Drosophila melanogaster: one gene and its partners. The gene in region 2 interacts genetically with the main gene of each other region. Each region holds a gene or a part of one and is shown on either strand. Other genes may lie near its edges. The genes, in order: bnl, seq and sv.

Region 1 (5,660 bases), on a different chromosome or scaffold from region 2:
GCTAAAGGACAAGGGGAAACCAAGGGACAATGTGGAAAGTGCAAAGGGCAGATCGACATTCCAAAGGTTGCCCTCGAAAACTGCGGGGGAGTTCTCGCTGTTGTTGGTTATTTATTGGAATAGGCACATTTGGCATGTGCTTCCCCGCGTTTCACCAGGCGTCAAATTCTCGGGCACAAAATGTTTTCATTCCGGTTAATTGAGTTAATTGAGTTTTGAGGCAACCCTTTTTCTGTGGCCTGGCGAAATCACTTAGGCCACTTACGAGCAAGCATTTAGAAATACATTTGAAAACTAAATTAAACACAGGGTCTAAGTAAATTTGCTTATTTCGAAGTATGCAACTTTAGCATGGCTTTACTCGCGCTTCAAGTGATATATTTAAACTCAATATTCTAAATTCAAACTGTTTAAAATTTACAATTTGGACAGATCTACATAGGTACTATTTCTAAACAAGCAAAAGCGCAGTCCACAAAATTCTTAATATGTTTCATAAATCATTTCTACACAACATAATCTAACAAATATTTTCAAAAAATTGTAAGTACCAAACACGATAGATGACACGATAAACAATATTTTATGGCTTTAATAAACAACATTGCCTTCTCAAAACTGCTACTTTATAGCAGTTATATAGTCTTAGCGACAATGTAAAACTTTGCCAATCAGTAGCAAGCCCGCACTTTCCACCGGCAACACCCACCCACTGAATGACGCTGTCATCAAGAATGACGTAGGCGACTACCCCGGAATATTTCTGCAATTTCTGTAGTGTCAAGTTGAAGTTCATTCATACACACATATGGGTATCTGCACCATGTGATTTTTTATAAGCGCCTTCTAAATAGATAAGATAAACTTGTATTCAACGAAATTCGCGCATAGCTGCCTTAACTTTTAAATTTGCCGTGTGACAGTATTTTTGGGGCTAAATTTTGGTCAACATCTAAAATTAGCAAAAATTTCGGTTGGTCAGAAATAGGTTTTGTGGTTTATTGCAGCCACAGGCAAATGAGTTGGTCAAAGTTCAAACCTTATCAGTGCGAATACAACGATGCGATTAGCACCTATCGTGAGTTGGCTTTCCCACGCGACTGATTCACTGGCAATGTTTAGCCGAATAATAAAGGGTACTGGGTGACGCTTGTTGTTGCACTTTGTGTTGTTAGTTAATTGGTATTTGTGCAAGTCCACGCTACCTGGCGAAATACGTCAAAAGCACTGGAAAAGGTCTACGCGCCAAAAAGCACAACCGCCACCAAACGCAATCCAATCAAAAACAAAAAGCAACTGCAATCTCTCCCTTTCACAATGTCTGTTTGAAAACCGTCACGTGATTTGTCGCCGTCGACTTAGGGGGCTCATTATAGTGACAGAACTCTAACAAAAATTAGTAGACTACTGTATTTTATATATATATATATATATATTTTTTTTTTTATATATAGAACATTTTAGTTGAGCTTTATGTTCGAAAGTTGTTTTTCTAGTGACAGATAACACCTTGTAGCCTACATTGTGGCCCAAAAAATTTCAGAATTTTCGGTTAGATAGTTACCATGTAACCGTTTAAGATATTTAGAGTAAGAAAAAGTAGGCTTCATAAATGATTAAGATGACTACAGTTAACCACCCCAAACACTAACAGAATTTGTTTGTTTTACTTAAAATCCAAAAATAATTTTCTAAATACAACAAATAAGTACACAAAAAATAAAAAAAAATTGATTCATATTTTGCATTTAATGTTTGAGTACAATGTTGAGCTAGTAACACAGTAGTTTTTAACCACTCATTAAAATTTATAATTTATTCAGCTACAAAGTATAAATTAGCAACGAACGAAATACAAATCTTTTATAACGGTGTTTTTGATTCTGACGCTAATGTATGATGAATCAACGAGTTGGCAGCGTTTCAATCACTTGAGCCGCAGTTTCGTCAGATCGGAAGGATGAATTGGGAATAACAGATAAACCCCATATCACACCTAGGGAACCGACCGACCACCATTCACTACAGCTGACCACCGACCACCATTCTTGGCGTTTACCTTACTCGCCCACTACTTGCTCTCACTCTCTCCGTCTCCCTCCCGCCGAACCGCACCGCATCGCACTCTCTCTCTCGTGCTCGTTCCGTCGCAAACGTGCTCGGCGTGAACGCACGAAGCGTCGCCTCATCGACAGGGTCTTTTTGCTCATGGCTTCAGTCTCTGACTAGCACGCTTGGGGAACACACAGTGAGCGGAGCGTCCGCAGTCGCAGTAGCACTCGAAGTCCGCTTATCCGCATCCGCAGCGTTTTCGAATTTTTCAGACCTACCATTCGATCCGATCCGATCCATCTGGCACATCCTAACCATCTCTAATCGTAACCCCATCATCGTGATCGCGTCCGTAATCGCTCCGTTTTAACGTACTCGATGTTCCGGTTTTGTGTGCAATCGTTTTCAAAGGAGATCGAAACAATAATCTCGGCGGATAGGAAATTTGAAACACGAATGTTCGTTTCGCAATCCAAGAGAGTCGTTACAATTTGAAAAGCCCGCAATAAAAAAAAAAAATCGTTTAGATGCGAGCAATTCGAAGATCGGAAAATATATAAAAAAATAAATATATATATATGATTTGTGCTGTGTTTGAAAAAGGAATATAAGAAAAAAATTATGAAAATGTTGAATTGTTGTTGCCGTAAGTTTTAAAGTGTGCAAAGTGCAACTCTCTGAAAATCAACGAAGAATACAACGCGTCCAAAAAAAGAATCGTAAAACTGAAAAAAAAGCAAACAAACATAAAACCTAGGTGCGTAATTTTCTGTTTCAACGCTGTTACATAAGTTCTTTTTTTTAATAAGTTTGTTGTTCCTCCAAGTATTTGTTCGAATGTTGCAAAATATTTCATTGGATTTCGGTCTTTGGAGCTTAGCAAAAGCAAGCCTAAAATTATTGAAAGTTTCAAGTTTGCCGAACGGAAAAAATATATGTTTTTCTGTATTATTAGATTTGATGTTTTGAAATACTAAAATTTATAAAGAGTTTCAGTGTTCTTTGGTCGCGCAATGTTGGGCATTTAAATAAAATATTTTGAATACGTTGAAATGTGGCAATTTGTTTGGTAACTTTCAAAATAAATTTAAAACATTTTCCACTTGGCAGCGGGCCGAGTAATAAGTGTATTTAAATGACCCACGAGGGAAAGTAATTAAATAGCAATATGTATAAAAACGAAATAAATTGATTTCAACAAACAAATAGCAAGCTAAAGCAAATGGGCAAAAACTTAATTTATATTAGTGGCATGCTAATTGAAATAATTTAGTTCATATTTGATTTGATTGATCAATACCTGTGCAGAATGATATTCACTTAAAACGTAATCTGATTGCATTTAGGTATAAGCGAATTAAATTTGATTTGCAGCCTAGTTTTTCCAAGTACTTTTCCGCGTTTATCTGCCCCAAATAAACAATTGGTAAAGCAAACAAAATGTAGCAAAATGTTTTTTTTTGCCAACCGGTGAAAGCAAACGACCTTAGGAGAACCCACTCTATGAAAGCGAAATTCATATAAATTTAAGCACACGATCTTTGGGATTATTTATAGTTTTTTTTTTTGCAAAACGCATATACATTTGCGAATCTTTATCGCCGTCTTGAAATGTATCTGTATCTGCGTATATGCGAATTGTGCGTATCTCTATTTGCAAACGCACGCAGGCGCTTTTAATCTCATTTCGCTAACTTTTTCGCAATAAACTTTTTTTCTGCTCACTCTGCGCGTGCACTTTTTGTCCTATAAATTGGCGGCGCTGACTATTATCTAACATTTGTGCGCTATTATCTAAGCTGGCTTGTTGTTCTTGTTCTTCCTGCGGATGATTTGCGCTGCGTATCTGTATCTGTATTTTGTATCTGTGTGCGAATTTGCGTTATTGCCGCACGCTAGTATGCGTCGGGTTCAACAACTGCTAATCACATGCCGGATCACAGTTTGGACAGCCGAGCGACAGACAAAGTGCGAAATATGGGGATCGCGATAAAGAATAAACTGAATGAATTTCGGCTGTGTGGACTAGCGGGTGATATCCTTCAAAATTAATGGCAGCGAAGAGTGCTTAACTCAAATCAGGGTCATTATTTGTAGAAGCTATTAACTATTTGGTATTTTCAGATTTTTTCTGGTCATTTTTCAAACTTATCTGGGGTCTAGGGAAAATATTAAAATTTTGGTTTATTACCTTTTACTTTCCTTTCATAACTTTTTTATTGGTTTACAATTGTTCCAGCAATAAGGGCTATTAGTTAGTATTATAATCAAGTTAATCTTTTTTGCTAACTTACATAAGCCATAATAAATCTTATCTTCTAATTCTAATTGTATAACTTATTAATAACCAAAAATAAGCGATAAAGATTCATACATTAATTATACATAATTGAATTGTGCCTCTTCAAATGCCGATCAAATTTTATTTCCTTTGCCGTTAAAGTTCTCACGTCACAATTTCATCAACTAAAAAATGAATATCCCCCAAGGGCAAAGAAAATAATTGGCTAATTGTTTAGTACCGCTTACGAAACGGTTTCTGGCTACGTCAACGATTGAATAATTGAAAAGACCACCGTAAATTTAGACATTAAGACATCAGTTTATGCAGAAAAACCAATTGAAGTGATTAAATTGCATGGGCAGTCCCGAATTAATTGAAAAGTAAATTTATATTTTGGTAGTAAAAGAGTTGCGCGTGGAATTTATATTTCCCCGGAGACTGTCGTGCATGCCTTCGGACTTCAGATGTCATAAAGCCAGCCAATTATCAGGTTTAGTTCTGAAACGCACGAGTTGGGTAACTTTTCGCTTGGGCCTGTGACACATTTACAAATTGTGCCTGATTGATGGGGCAGCAAGCCCAGTGGAGCCAAAGTTTGAAATACAACGATCATAATTCGTAGATAGATAAAGCTTATCGCATGCAAAAGAAAAAAGTTTTATGGCCGTGCGTAAATAGTTTTGCGGTTTGTTTTTCTTTTTGCCCAAAAGTGGCGCATAACACTCGGAATATAAAGTCAACCGAAGTCGGCGAAAGAAGGCGGAAAATGCGGGAAACTCAGTAAAAATGTAGCGTTTGTTTTAATTAAGCGTGAACACTAGACCACATAATGTGCGGCATACATTTAGAGACGCACACACACGATCGCACATGGCAACAGCTTTAGGTACACCGCTCAGTTAAAAAGCGAGCAACAAAAAGGCAAAATGAAAACGAGAAAATCGTCGCGTATTTTACTCAGGTTGTTGTTATTCTTGTTGTTTCTCTTTTTTTTTTGACGGTTTTCCTTCTTTTTTTACACATATATATATATTTTTTTTTTGGTTGTTTGACGCATTTTAAAAATATCCTAGACGCAATTGTTGTTTTGTTGGCTGTCTGTTTGTCACATTACTAATACGTCGCGTTGTCTTTGATTTCGTCGTTTTCGGTTGGTTTTATTTTAAAACGACGGTTTTCCTTTTAATTTTCGCACGTAAAGTGCGTGACTTTTAATTAGACTACAATAAATGTGCGAAATTGTGTGGGAGATGAGTCTGCCAGTGGGCAGTGTGTTGGTGAAGGCAAGAGATACATTTTAGGTGAGATACATGGTGAAGGTGAC
Region 2 (5,788 bases):
GGAGCAGGAGATAGGAATAAGACTCGCTGGTAGCCCCACAAGTAGCGCAAGGAAACCTACTTTTTATCACACAGCAAGACATCGAGATGTGGTGGCAGGGGTGCTGCACTGAGCACCGCGTTTGGCGGATCCTCCGGATGCCGCCCCACGTCACGCCCCTCCATCCACAGATCGTAGCGATCGCTTTGGAAGCGCTTGACAAATGTGTCCATCGAGATCTTGACCATATCGTTGCTGCAGGTGCACTGCACCGCCCGCTTGCCGTACTCGATCCAGCGCTCCATGGCAAAGTTGGTGGACTCGGCACAGTTAAAGCCGTGATTGAAGCCGGCATGATAGCCGAACGGAAATGTGATCATGATCTCGCCCGCCTCCTGCGTGATCTGCAAGAGCCGGATTTAGTACGGCCACTATGGACAGGATTACTACCGATAAACGCACCTTACTGACGGGCACGTCATGTTGCTTGAGAATCTGTGGTGAAATCAACGTCATCTTGTGGCGCAAATATGCGTTGCAATTCTTGTAACTGGCCGGAAAGTACTGGTTGGCCACCTTCTCCAATTTGCGACCACACTCCGGCGGCACCACATACCACGTCTTTGGCGCCCCAAAGTGTAAGTAATTGATGGAATAGAGATCCATGTCCTCCGTGTGCCATGCAAAGGTCGTCTTCCACATGCCAAAGTACAAGTAGGCTGTGTTCACGCCGTCTATCTGGATGTTATAATCCTTGTTGACATAGTCAAGAATTGTGCCCAGCCGGTTGATGTTCCAGCTCTGCAACGGCAAAGGCAAAGGCAACGAATCATCAGCTAATGCCCAAACCTAAACCCTAACCCTAACGAACTTACATCCTGGTCTGTGTCTGTGATACTTCCGCTGACATCTGCCCCATAAATGGGCGCCACATATGTTATGTTCTTCCAGTATTTGCGCTCCAGATCCTCAAAGTCAAAGTGTTTGGGTGTGGCGTAACGCTCGGTGCTGGCCAACTCGCTAAACTGCTTAACTGTGAGTGGCTTTTTCTGGATGTTAATCTGCTGGTAGTATCCCTGTTTGCCGGTTACCACCTGGCAAATGGGCGCCGGAATTGTGACATTTAGAGCATCGAGATCGGCGTACCCACTGCGACGGGGCACCCATTCCGGCGGAGGCACCACCTTGGCCAAACCGGCTTTGTGGGCACCCTGGGACTCCATGTAGGCCACGTACTTGGGAAAGTCCTTGAACTCCTCCCAGGTGGGTCGGAAGACCTTGATGCGTGGCACCTCTGACATTTTCATTCTCGTCTCAGTTTTTCTCTTTTTTTTCAATTCCGACCTGTTGTCGGACACTTCTTTCACAGCTAGGGTGCTTCGATCTGGAACTGTGATAGAAGCAGCATTAAAACTCCGTACTCCCGTGCACGGCCCATTAATCCCGGGCAGATGCCATTCATGATCAGCCCGTCTGCCTGCCCCATCGCTAAGCGCTCAGCGATCGGATCGCTTGGGATCGGCATTCTGGCTGGCAGTCACAAAACAAACAGAGAAGGAGCGCTGAGGGAACAGCTGCAACTTTTCGAGGTTTTCTTTTTTTTTTTTAATGGGCGCGGCAGCTACAACAGCAGGCAGGCAGGCAGGACGACTGGCAGGAGAATAGAGGCTGGCAGGATATGCAGTTGCCGTTTCCCCCGCCCCTTTCATTCGAGTGGTTTTCCTCATGGGCCAGCCGGACCCGCAATAACCCATAGGAACCCATAAAAAGTGCAATGATCGTTCGTTTGATAACCTTACTAACTACGAGGAAATGTTGTAAATTAAATAAGTATATCAGATTTCATGCACAACCGGCTGAAAAATTGGGAGTTAAAGGAATAAGCGGTAATATGGAAATTATGTATGTTGCCTGAAAATGGTAAATTCGATTCATTTCTTACCACAAAATTATTTCGATTAAATATTAAATGATTTAGTTATGCTATAAATTACAATTGAATTATGCTGATAATATATCGATGATTGTGATAAATGTAAACAACTTTGCCAAAAAGTTGTAAAATTCAGGTATTCGAAATTTAAAAAACTAATTAAAATTAAAACTCCTATGTAAGTAAACATACGAAATATATTTAAACGATCCCCGCAGGATTAGGATAACTTAAAAAATAATTTTACTAATATTGACGCTTTGTCTTCACACTATCACTTAATTAATAGTTACAATTAGCATACAAAATTATTGAACTAAAATTTATTTAAGACTAGTTCGCAAAACTATTTTGTTTACATTTTATAGATCCCAAATAAAATGATTGATGAGTGTAAAACGTAAAATAAAACAAAAGTACAAGTCATGCGTGATTGAAAAATTTCTCTGTGTGTATTTCTGTATACGATAAGCCTCCCAAAAAAAAACACAATAAATCAAGATGAAGGGGATAATTAATTATTGAGCCCCATGACGAACCGTTATTCCCGCGGCAAGCCATTTATAGGGATTGAAAACGCCCAATAAGCAAATGACACAAATCCGGCGACATCTTTTTCCCAGTCAATACCAATACCAATTGTTTTTCCGTTTGTTTTTCCTATTTTCCGTACAAGCAGACTGAAAGCTCTGCAGGCCAGAGGAACAGCAAGGATAACGATAACGAGGACAACGCTGTGCGAGACATCCCAGAGCACTAGATGAAAATTTACGCAATTTTTCGACCACGTAGAAAACTGTACCACCACCCGAGAATTTCAGAGAGCGAGAAGACCAAAACCGAACGAGAGCGGAGAGCCGACGATGTTGGGGAAGGGGAGGGGTAACGGGATAACTGAGAGGGGGGAGCTGACGAGTGCGCAAAACTATATGCTAGTTAACAAGGAGAGAGCAAATATGGTGGGAAGAGCGAGTGAGCGGGCAGGATATACTCGCTACAGAGGAGATTCGACATGGGCGAGTCGCAATGCAGCGAGTGCGTATGCATGTGTGTATGTGTGTTTACGAATATGTGAGTGTGTTTGTGAAAGGACGAAATTTGGAACTCACTTGTGATGTGCTTTGATGGGTTTTTTTTTTAGTTCTGCTTCTCTAGTTTATTCGGTGTTCTCCATGCGTAAATCCCAACAAAATGTCAAAAGTACTTTTATGACTATATGAGCAACTCCAACTGGATGTGACTAACGTTTTGGATGCTGCTGCGTTGCCTTTGTTTGAAGTGATTTGTAGTTTATTGCACATTATTTTTTGTGTATTTGCATATGAAACTTCTGCTGGCGTTTTAACTAACTGTAACTAATTTGCACAATTTGATGTTTTATACGATACACTTGAGCACTATTTTCTGGGTTTTGCAATTCTTGTAGAATGATTTAGCTTTGGTATTATTTTATGTTATCCTGCAACATCTGATGGCGTCGTTGTTTTGCGTTTTACACAGTCTTCGACTTGATGGCTGCTGCTCTCTCTCTTCGAGGATGTTAATTTATATATATGTATATTAATGTGGATGGCTAACTGGCACTCACGACGGGCGCGACATGTCTGAGCGGTCTGAGTGGCAAGCGTCGACTGAACGCCAGTTCGATGCCAGGACGATGGCGACGCAGGCGTCGAAAGAACTCGCTCTTCGCTCGCACTCGCACTCGCACTCACACACACAGCAAGCACGCAACACAGACACGCTCACGCACACACAGTCGCGCCGCACAAGAGCGTTGTCCTTTTAATGCGAATGCTCTGGTCAAAGCATAATGCGAAAGGAAAATTGGTGTAGAGCAAGAGGGAGACGGCGCAAACAAGTTTGACAGGATAATTGTGGATAGGGAAATGCAAGCCGTGTGGAAAACTGGCAGTTTTAATCGCTCCTCCTTTTTCCTCTATTCATTCGTGGATCGAACAATGCCTTTTTCCTCCTCTTTAGTTTCATTGCGAAAAGCAAATGTGGCGAAAGGAAAAATGCATTCGCCATCGCGAATCGTGAATCCATTCGCACATTCTCTCTCTTTCTCTGCATCTCAGTAAGCAGTCAGAGAAATCGCAAAGGACTTAATCCTCATTATGCATTGTCCTGGCACGGATTTCGGATTTTGGCGAAGATCTAATCTAGGACTTTACTGATCCCGGATCGCCAGTGATCGTTTGTAGGTAAACGACAGATACAGAGGCTAGAGGTTGAGGATCCACTTGAGACGGGTCGCAAGGACTCTCTCACTTGAGACGGCTTCGTGTGTCTCGTACTTAATAATTGCATATTTGTATAATAATTGCAAAACCAACAAATAGCGTTCAGAGCAATGGCTCGTTTGGAATAATTGTTTGTTTACTTTTATGCTAGCCAATTTCAATCTAATGCTTTTTATATAGTGTTTTCGATAGATTTTCCATTTTAAATGTATTACACATTTAAGCTTGATCCTGTGAACTCCGTTTGCAGAATTAGTACCATTTAAATAGAATTATAATTTCCAAGCCGATCGCATTATATCTTTTAAATCATAACGCCCTCAACTATATTTCTCAATAATTTCGTTAATAAGAAAATGTCATATTGTTGCAACTGTTAAGGACATTAATTTCCCCCAAGCGCAAAAGCATAATTTAGTAAATCCCCTATAATGTTCAATTTAATGGCATATGCGCTTAGCGAATACAAATAAGCACATCTGCAACTGCATCGAGCAATTATGTGATAGCGTTTCGATAACAAGGTTTCTTGCATCCTGTGTGCAGAAAACCCATACAAAAACCGACGCAAAATAATAAAACAGGACGGGGAGTGAAGGAGAGGAACAAAAAAAGGAAACCGGGCTGAGTAATTACAGCAGCTTGAAACGGTGAAAGGAATGCCCCGTGGTAGTATAATTTACAACATGTCATTAGCCCGGCGACGCCTATGGGAAAATGGAGCTTGGGGGAGCGGCTAACGGCAGGATCAAAGCGTGACCAGAGCACAAAAGAACGGTCACACTGCTCGGCAGGACTTGAAACGAAAGAAACAAAAAGTGGCGGGGTGTCCAAGGATCCTGTCCTCAAAACTTGTCCAAAGCAACTCAGGCATAACCCACAGAGAGAGAGCAGGAGAGAGATAGAGAGAAACAGAGAGAGGACGAGCGGAAAAGGACGAAAGAGAGAGAGCTTGCAGCCAAGCAGCGAGAATGACCAGGCGGCGGCTTCAACTTCCGGCAGGAATGGCTCACACACACACATACTAACAGTGCAGTTGTGTACACAATGTGGTCATTGACTGAACGGTAAAAAGCGAAAACAGGAACCAACAGCAGTAGCAGCAACAACAACAACAACAACAACAACTGCCGATGACGTCGTCGATGAAGAACACACGGAGAACCGCCATAATGCGCGTCCCCTTTTTCCACATTCCCACCGCGCCCCCCTCCAACACCAAACCACTCCGCCTGTCATTTTATATTCCATTTTACAAACACACACACGCACGCACACACATTCGTCCTGTGCCTCGTGTGATTTCACAAGGCATTTCTCTTCAGCACAATTTCTCACAAAATTTCAATTCGAGCTCGGCTTCGCCTCAGCTGCGACAACAGCTACAAGATTATTTATGCTTTTTTCTATGCTTGTTCCTGCCGCTCGTCGTTGTTGTTGTTGTTCTTGTTGTAGTTGTAGCTGCTGTAGTTGTTCCTGCTGCCAGTTGCCTGTTTATATCCTTTTGTGACGCTAAGCACGCGCGACGAAGCCGCACAGTGGGATTTTTACATTTGTAAAAAGTTGGAGAAATTTACTTTCTTTTTAAAATCGACTGATTAAAATTCTTATTTTTTATGTTTATTGGGGA
Region 3 (5,443 bases), on a different chromosome or scaffold from region 2:
GATGTTGGAGCTCATGTGTTCCGAGCCCATGGATATGATGTGTCGATGTCTGTATATCCATTATAAGCATCAAAGATTCAACAAAATGTATAAGTTCCTGGAATACAGAAAATTGTGGGTTCTTTTATTATGAAAGCAACGAGATATTAGCGTAGCCAAAGCAGTTGACCTATGCAGTTATGCAAGGAATGGATATGTCTGCACAAAACAATTGTTGGTTAGTTCATCAAATTCTTCTGCTTAAAGTGTAATTAACAACAAATGTTATGTATTTTATTCGGCAATGACATTCAAACTGTTTTAAAGGCAAGCAGGAAATGCTATAGTCGAATGGCTCGACTATCAGATATTTCACTTATCGTCGCGGTTTGTGGGTGATAGAGTGGGCGTAGTCAAAATGTTTGGTAACACAACTAGTAAAATGACAAAAAATAATTTTCTTTTTTTAATGTGTCATAACGCTTCTGAAAGTTTATAGGCGTTGGGTGGCGGACGCCTTCATTATCTAAAATAATCTTGCCGTATGACTACAACTAGAATCTGTAGATCGACTCGTCTAGACAGTTATGAATATATATTTTATAAGATCGAAAACACTTCTGCTTTTCAACGAATCAACACGTAATGGCTTTAATAAATGAACTAAATCAACCGAGCTATATATAAAGAAAGTTTTAAAGTGATACATTCAAATAAGAGCATTTTATGATGGAAAACGCGAAACTATGAACTAAATTAATGTATTTTTATATAAATGGTATATCCCGATTTGGCATATTTATGAATAACTAGAAATTTTAAAGTTGATTTCCTCGACTATCAAAAACTCGTTACTCAGCTAGTGTGAGTGCTGGGAAAAAAATCATACAGCGAAGGTGGCTCTAAAATTTGCTTGTTAATCTTAATCGTTTCTTTCTATTAGAGTTACCTAGATCACTGCGTTCAGACCATGGCCAGATTGTTGATCCTGATCAAGAATGTATGTATTTCATACGGTAGGAAACGATCCGTTCTGCCTGTTACATACTTTTCAACTAATTTTACTCTACGAGTAACAGACCAAATTATGATATTTTTATACCCGTTACTCGTAGAGTGAAAGGGTATACAAGATTTTGTGAAAAGTGTGTAACAGACAGAAGGAAGCGTCTCCGACTATATATAGTGTATATATTCTTGATCAGGATCAATAGCCGAGCCGATCTGGCCTTGCCAGTCTGTCCCTATGAACGTCGAGATCTCAGGAACTATAAAAGCTAGAAGGTTGAGATTCAGCATACAGATTCTAGAGACATACCCCCCTGTTGCCACGCCCACAAACAAAATTGCCTCGATTACATTTTTGAAGAATTTTTGGATATTTTTTCATAATTTTATTAATTTTATTATAACAAAGAGCTTAGACTTATAAGCATTTTTTTAATTTTTAGTAATTTTATTCCACAATATTTATCGCTTAGCCAAAATTTATGAAATTTTCTCTTTGGCATTTCCACTAGCTGCGTAACGGGTATCTAATAGTCGGCCAACTTGACTATAGCAATCTTTCTTGTGATTCGTACCTTTCAATGGCACACATATATTTCACTATTTCACTATCCGCTCTTGTTATCCAGGGCAAGGTGCACTTTCTTCCCGCCGAATGAAGCCTTAACCCGCGCAAACGTGGTTGCTAGCACTTATTCACCTGTTGTTAATTGACCTTTTTGGGACTGACACTCCCCTAAGGGTCAATATAGCTAAATGATCGAGTCAGCTACGTGTATGGGTATGGGAATAAATGTGTTCGTTTAGGCCATCTGCTTTCTTTCTACATTTATTGTTTCCTAAATAGCCTAAAATGAAAGAGCGCTAAAGTCGAGTTCCCCGACTATCAGATACCTATTAATCAGCTAGTAGCAGCAATGTTTAATAACATTGGAGCCATTTTTTTATGAGAACATTTTGGGGTTCGTCGATAAAAATTAGAATGACAAAAAAATAAAATCAATAAAAAATCAAAATACATATAGTGCCTGCGTGGCACAGGTATGAAACAAGCTTGCACCGCTTTTATAATTCACGAGGAAAATTAATTTAAAAAACAAGAGAGAATCCTACAGTCGACTTCCGCGACTATCAGATACCCGTTACTCAGCTAACGCATTTCTTATTTTTTTAATGATAAAAATGAGAAAAAATTTAAAATTTGGTCAAAAATGTGGTCGTAGCAGTCTTGGGCGGCTTGTAGGCGTAACAGCGGGCGTTGCAAAAAGAAAATGTAGATATAAATTTACAAAAACTAAAGAAAATATGAAAAAATATCATTTTGCAAATATGTGGGCGTGGCAGTTCTAAACGGTTTGTACGCGTAAGAGTGGGCATGGCAAATCGATAGAAATTTAGGAAACAAATATGAACAAATTTCAAAATATATTTCAATGGCGTGGCAGTTTTGGGCGTAACAGTTGGCGTGGCAATACCTTGTGCTGCGTGTATGTCTCTAGAATCTGTATGCTTAATCTCAACCTTCTAGCTTTTGTAGTTCCTGAGATCTCGACGTTCATACGGACGGACAGACTGTCAGACGGACACACGGACATACGGACAAGGTCAGATCGATTCGGCTATTGATTCTGATCAAGAATATATATACTTTATATGGTCGGAAACACTTCCATCTACCTTTCAACTTTTCAACGAATCTGGTGTACCCTTTTACTCTATTAGTAACAGGTAGTAGTTAGTTAGTACAAGTTTAGTAGTACAAGTTTTGTAGTTTTGTTGTTGTGTTCGAATTCGAATAAAGGGCTCGAATTCGATATACACATTTTCTTGTTGATAATAATAATAATAAATAAAAAATTAATTAATTTTAAATTTTTTTTATAAATTAATTTTAAATGAATTTGGAAGTATATAGTTAAAAGTCACGGTCGGGCACAGCGGTCCTGTTACGAGGTCATTGGAGCTTCTACAATTTGTTATTTTCATTACCAACTGGTATTCAGGCAGAATAAAACCCATACTTCATTCAATTCAACAAAATTAAAAGTGGGAAAAATAATTGTATTTTCACACACTCCAGCCGAATAATAGCTATGGGGAGCCAGAATTTTTAGTTAAGACAGTCGAGGAAAACAAAGAAAACAAGTATTCCAAGGTCAGGAGCGTGGGTAAATATAAGCTGTTCAAATTCGGAGTATATTTAAAGCCGAGCTCAAGCGCCTTAAGTGTTTAATGTTATATAACTTGGATGATTAAGGAATTATTTTTACCTTAATATATTTAAAACTATGCATTAGTTTACTCACTGAATATTTTCGTTTTATAAAGATTGGTTAACATATAATTGTTTTAAAGAATTTCAATAAATTATTAGTTATTTAGCGTCACTCAGTTAAGGTAGTGAAAACGTTCAAATACGAATTTATACACTAACAACATCACTGAGTCAAGGAATCTAAGCCTTGAAAGGTAAAAAAGACAGCGCGAACCACCTGTTGGCTAAAAATCCACGAAGCAACACGATTTCCAGGTGGATCTTGAAGCGTACGCCAAGAGATCTCGAGCGAAACTAAATTGTTGAATGGCAATGGACGACGGAAGCAGTTTACATCGCTCAAACTCAGCCGACCACTTTTTTGAGTGTGTTTATGATGGCTTATATGTTTGAGTCGCTCTCAAAACTTGGCCCAAGGCGGCTTTACGGTTGGTCGGCTACATTCGCACTCAACTGGCGGTCGACTAATCGGGAGACATAGCGTGTTGTTCGGATGCAAAAGCTGGGTTTGAAATACGATCGCCGCTTCAAACAGAACGAGTGATAGAGAAAAGGAAAGAGAACAAATTAGTTAAAGTCACTGAATGAGAAGGGATGAGATGGTATTCTTGTTTTCCCCTGTTTGGTCTTAATGATCAGAGTGTTGGAGTGCTTATACCCGTTACTCGTATAGGAAATGGGTATTCTAAATTCGTTGTAAGGAAGAAGAAAGCGCTTCGAAGCGTTTGGTATATCCCTGATTATGATCGTTCTTTTTTATATCTGTCAAACCTCAATCTCATAACCCTACAGTCCTGACTGCTTAAAGTTTCCTAAGGTCCAGCTGACCCATATTTGTCTAATTGTTTTCCACTAAAGGCCTATATTTATTGGTTCCGGTTTAATATTCCTATTATTAGATACATATAAAGGTGTTATCTTTTGGCATTTAACAACAGGCTCTCGAAAAGTGAACGCAAGACTATGTATTAAATTTGAAGTAACTACATTTTGTTGAACGGAAGCTAAGTCAGTTTATATACATAAGTAATCAACCCCCTTTTAACCGTCTGGATCGCGTATTGTTACATTGAGTGACCTGCATTCTACAGGTTGACAAGCGAACAAATATTTATACATACATATTTGAAAATGTGTAATATACGTTTGTAAATAAATCGTTTAATATACATAGGTGTACTAGGAGTACAGTCGGCACTACCTTATGATATACACATACATATATTGTTTCTATGCTTCCATGCATACAAAAATAATCCACATTTTCGTCAGAGTAGTGAAACCAAGAAAAAGTTAAATTGGCATCCCTGAACGACGATCTAAAGCAGGCTGCTGGTACTCAAACTATTAAAGAGAAGACGGCGCGTGCCAAGCAATCTTCGACTACCGTTGCAAACTACACGAAAGGGAGAAGAGAGATTACTCAACCGTTTCAAAATTTAGAGCTGACTGGTGTTACTATCGTATAAAAAAAACAAATACAAATACAAAGTTTTTTTTCATTTATGAAATCTATTAGTTTATAAACATACTTAGTCAATATTACTAGCCACTTGTCCTCTTTAAAGGGGACTGAAAAGACATCAGAATAAGATTTAACTTTTATCATTTATGTCAAAATATTGTTAAATATATTGAAAAATCAAAGAGTGACGTTGCCGTGCGTCTTTGTCTCTGGAAGCAACAAGCGGACAGGGTCAGATCGACTCGGCTATTGATCCTGATCAAGATATATATACTTTACATGGTCGAAAACGCTTTCTTCTAACTGTTACATACTTATCAACGAATCTATCTTTTATTCTACGAGTAACGGGTATAATAATATGTTACAGAATTATGTAGTGTACACAACAGAATATTCAGGTGTTCATTTACCGTCATCCCTTGAATTCTTTTGCGATCGAAGGAAATGTCTTGGACGGTTGCCCGCGCTTTATTTGTGAAACACCTGTTAGACCGAACCGGAAAAAACCTACCCTTCGATCGCGCCTCTGTTAATTTTCCTTTCTGCTTATATATACTCCTTACGTGGTTAATTCGTGCATTAGTACCAAAACTGGTGTTAAGTCACTAGCAAAAGTTCAATGATCTTAAATATTATTATTATGTTATTATATATGTATGTATTTATATGAAGAATTCTGACCAATATAAGCTCTAAAAAAATATTCGAAAATT

Evidence for each region.
Region 1: of seq (region 2) and bnl, changing one suppresses a phenotype caused by changing the other (phenotypic suppression), as found in Drosophila melanogaster (one study listed by BioGRID).
Region 3: of seq (region 2) and sv, changing one suppresses a phenotype caused by changing the other (phenotypic suppression), as found in Drosophila melanogaster (one study listed by BioGRID).

Annotation. Positions count from the first base shown.
Region 1 is NT_033777.3:19,833,411-19,839,070, reverse strand, and holds the start of bnl (branchless), read left to right. Parts: upstream 1-2,253; 5' UTR 2,254-2,809; intron 2,810-5,660.
Region 2 is NT_033778.4:13,186,540-13,192,327, forward strand, and holds the start of seq (sequoia), read right to left. Parts: upstream 3,548-5,788; 5' UTR 3,022-3,547; intron 2,715-3,021; exon of another isoform or gene 2,549-2,714; intron 1,370-2,548; exon of another isoform or gene 1,287-1,369; coding exon of another isoform or gene 855-1,286; intron 781-854; coding exon of another isoform or gene 442-780; intron 384-441; coding exon of another isoform or gene 61-383; intron 1-60. Other genes in the region: Kdm4B (lysine demethylase 4B), read right to left, coding at 61-383, 442-780, 855-1,286.
Region 3 is NC_004353.4:1,086,913-1,092,355, reverse strand, and holds the start of sv (shaven), read right to left. Parts: upstream 3,559-5,443; 5' UTR 3,294-3,558; intron 98-3,293; 5' UTR 71-97; coding exon 1-70.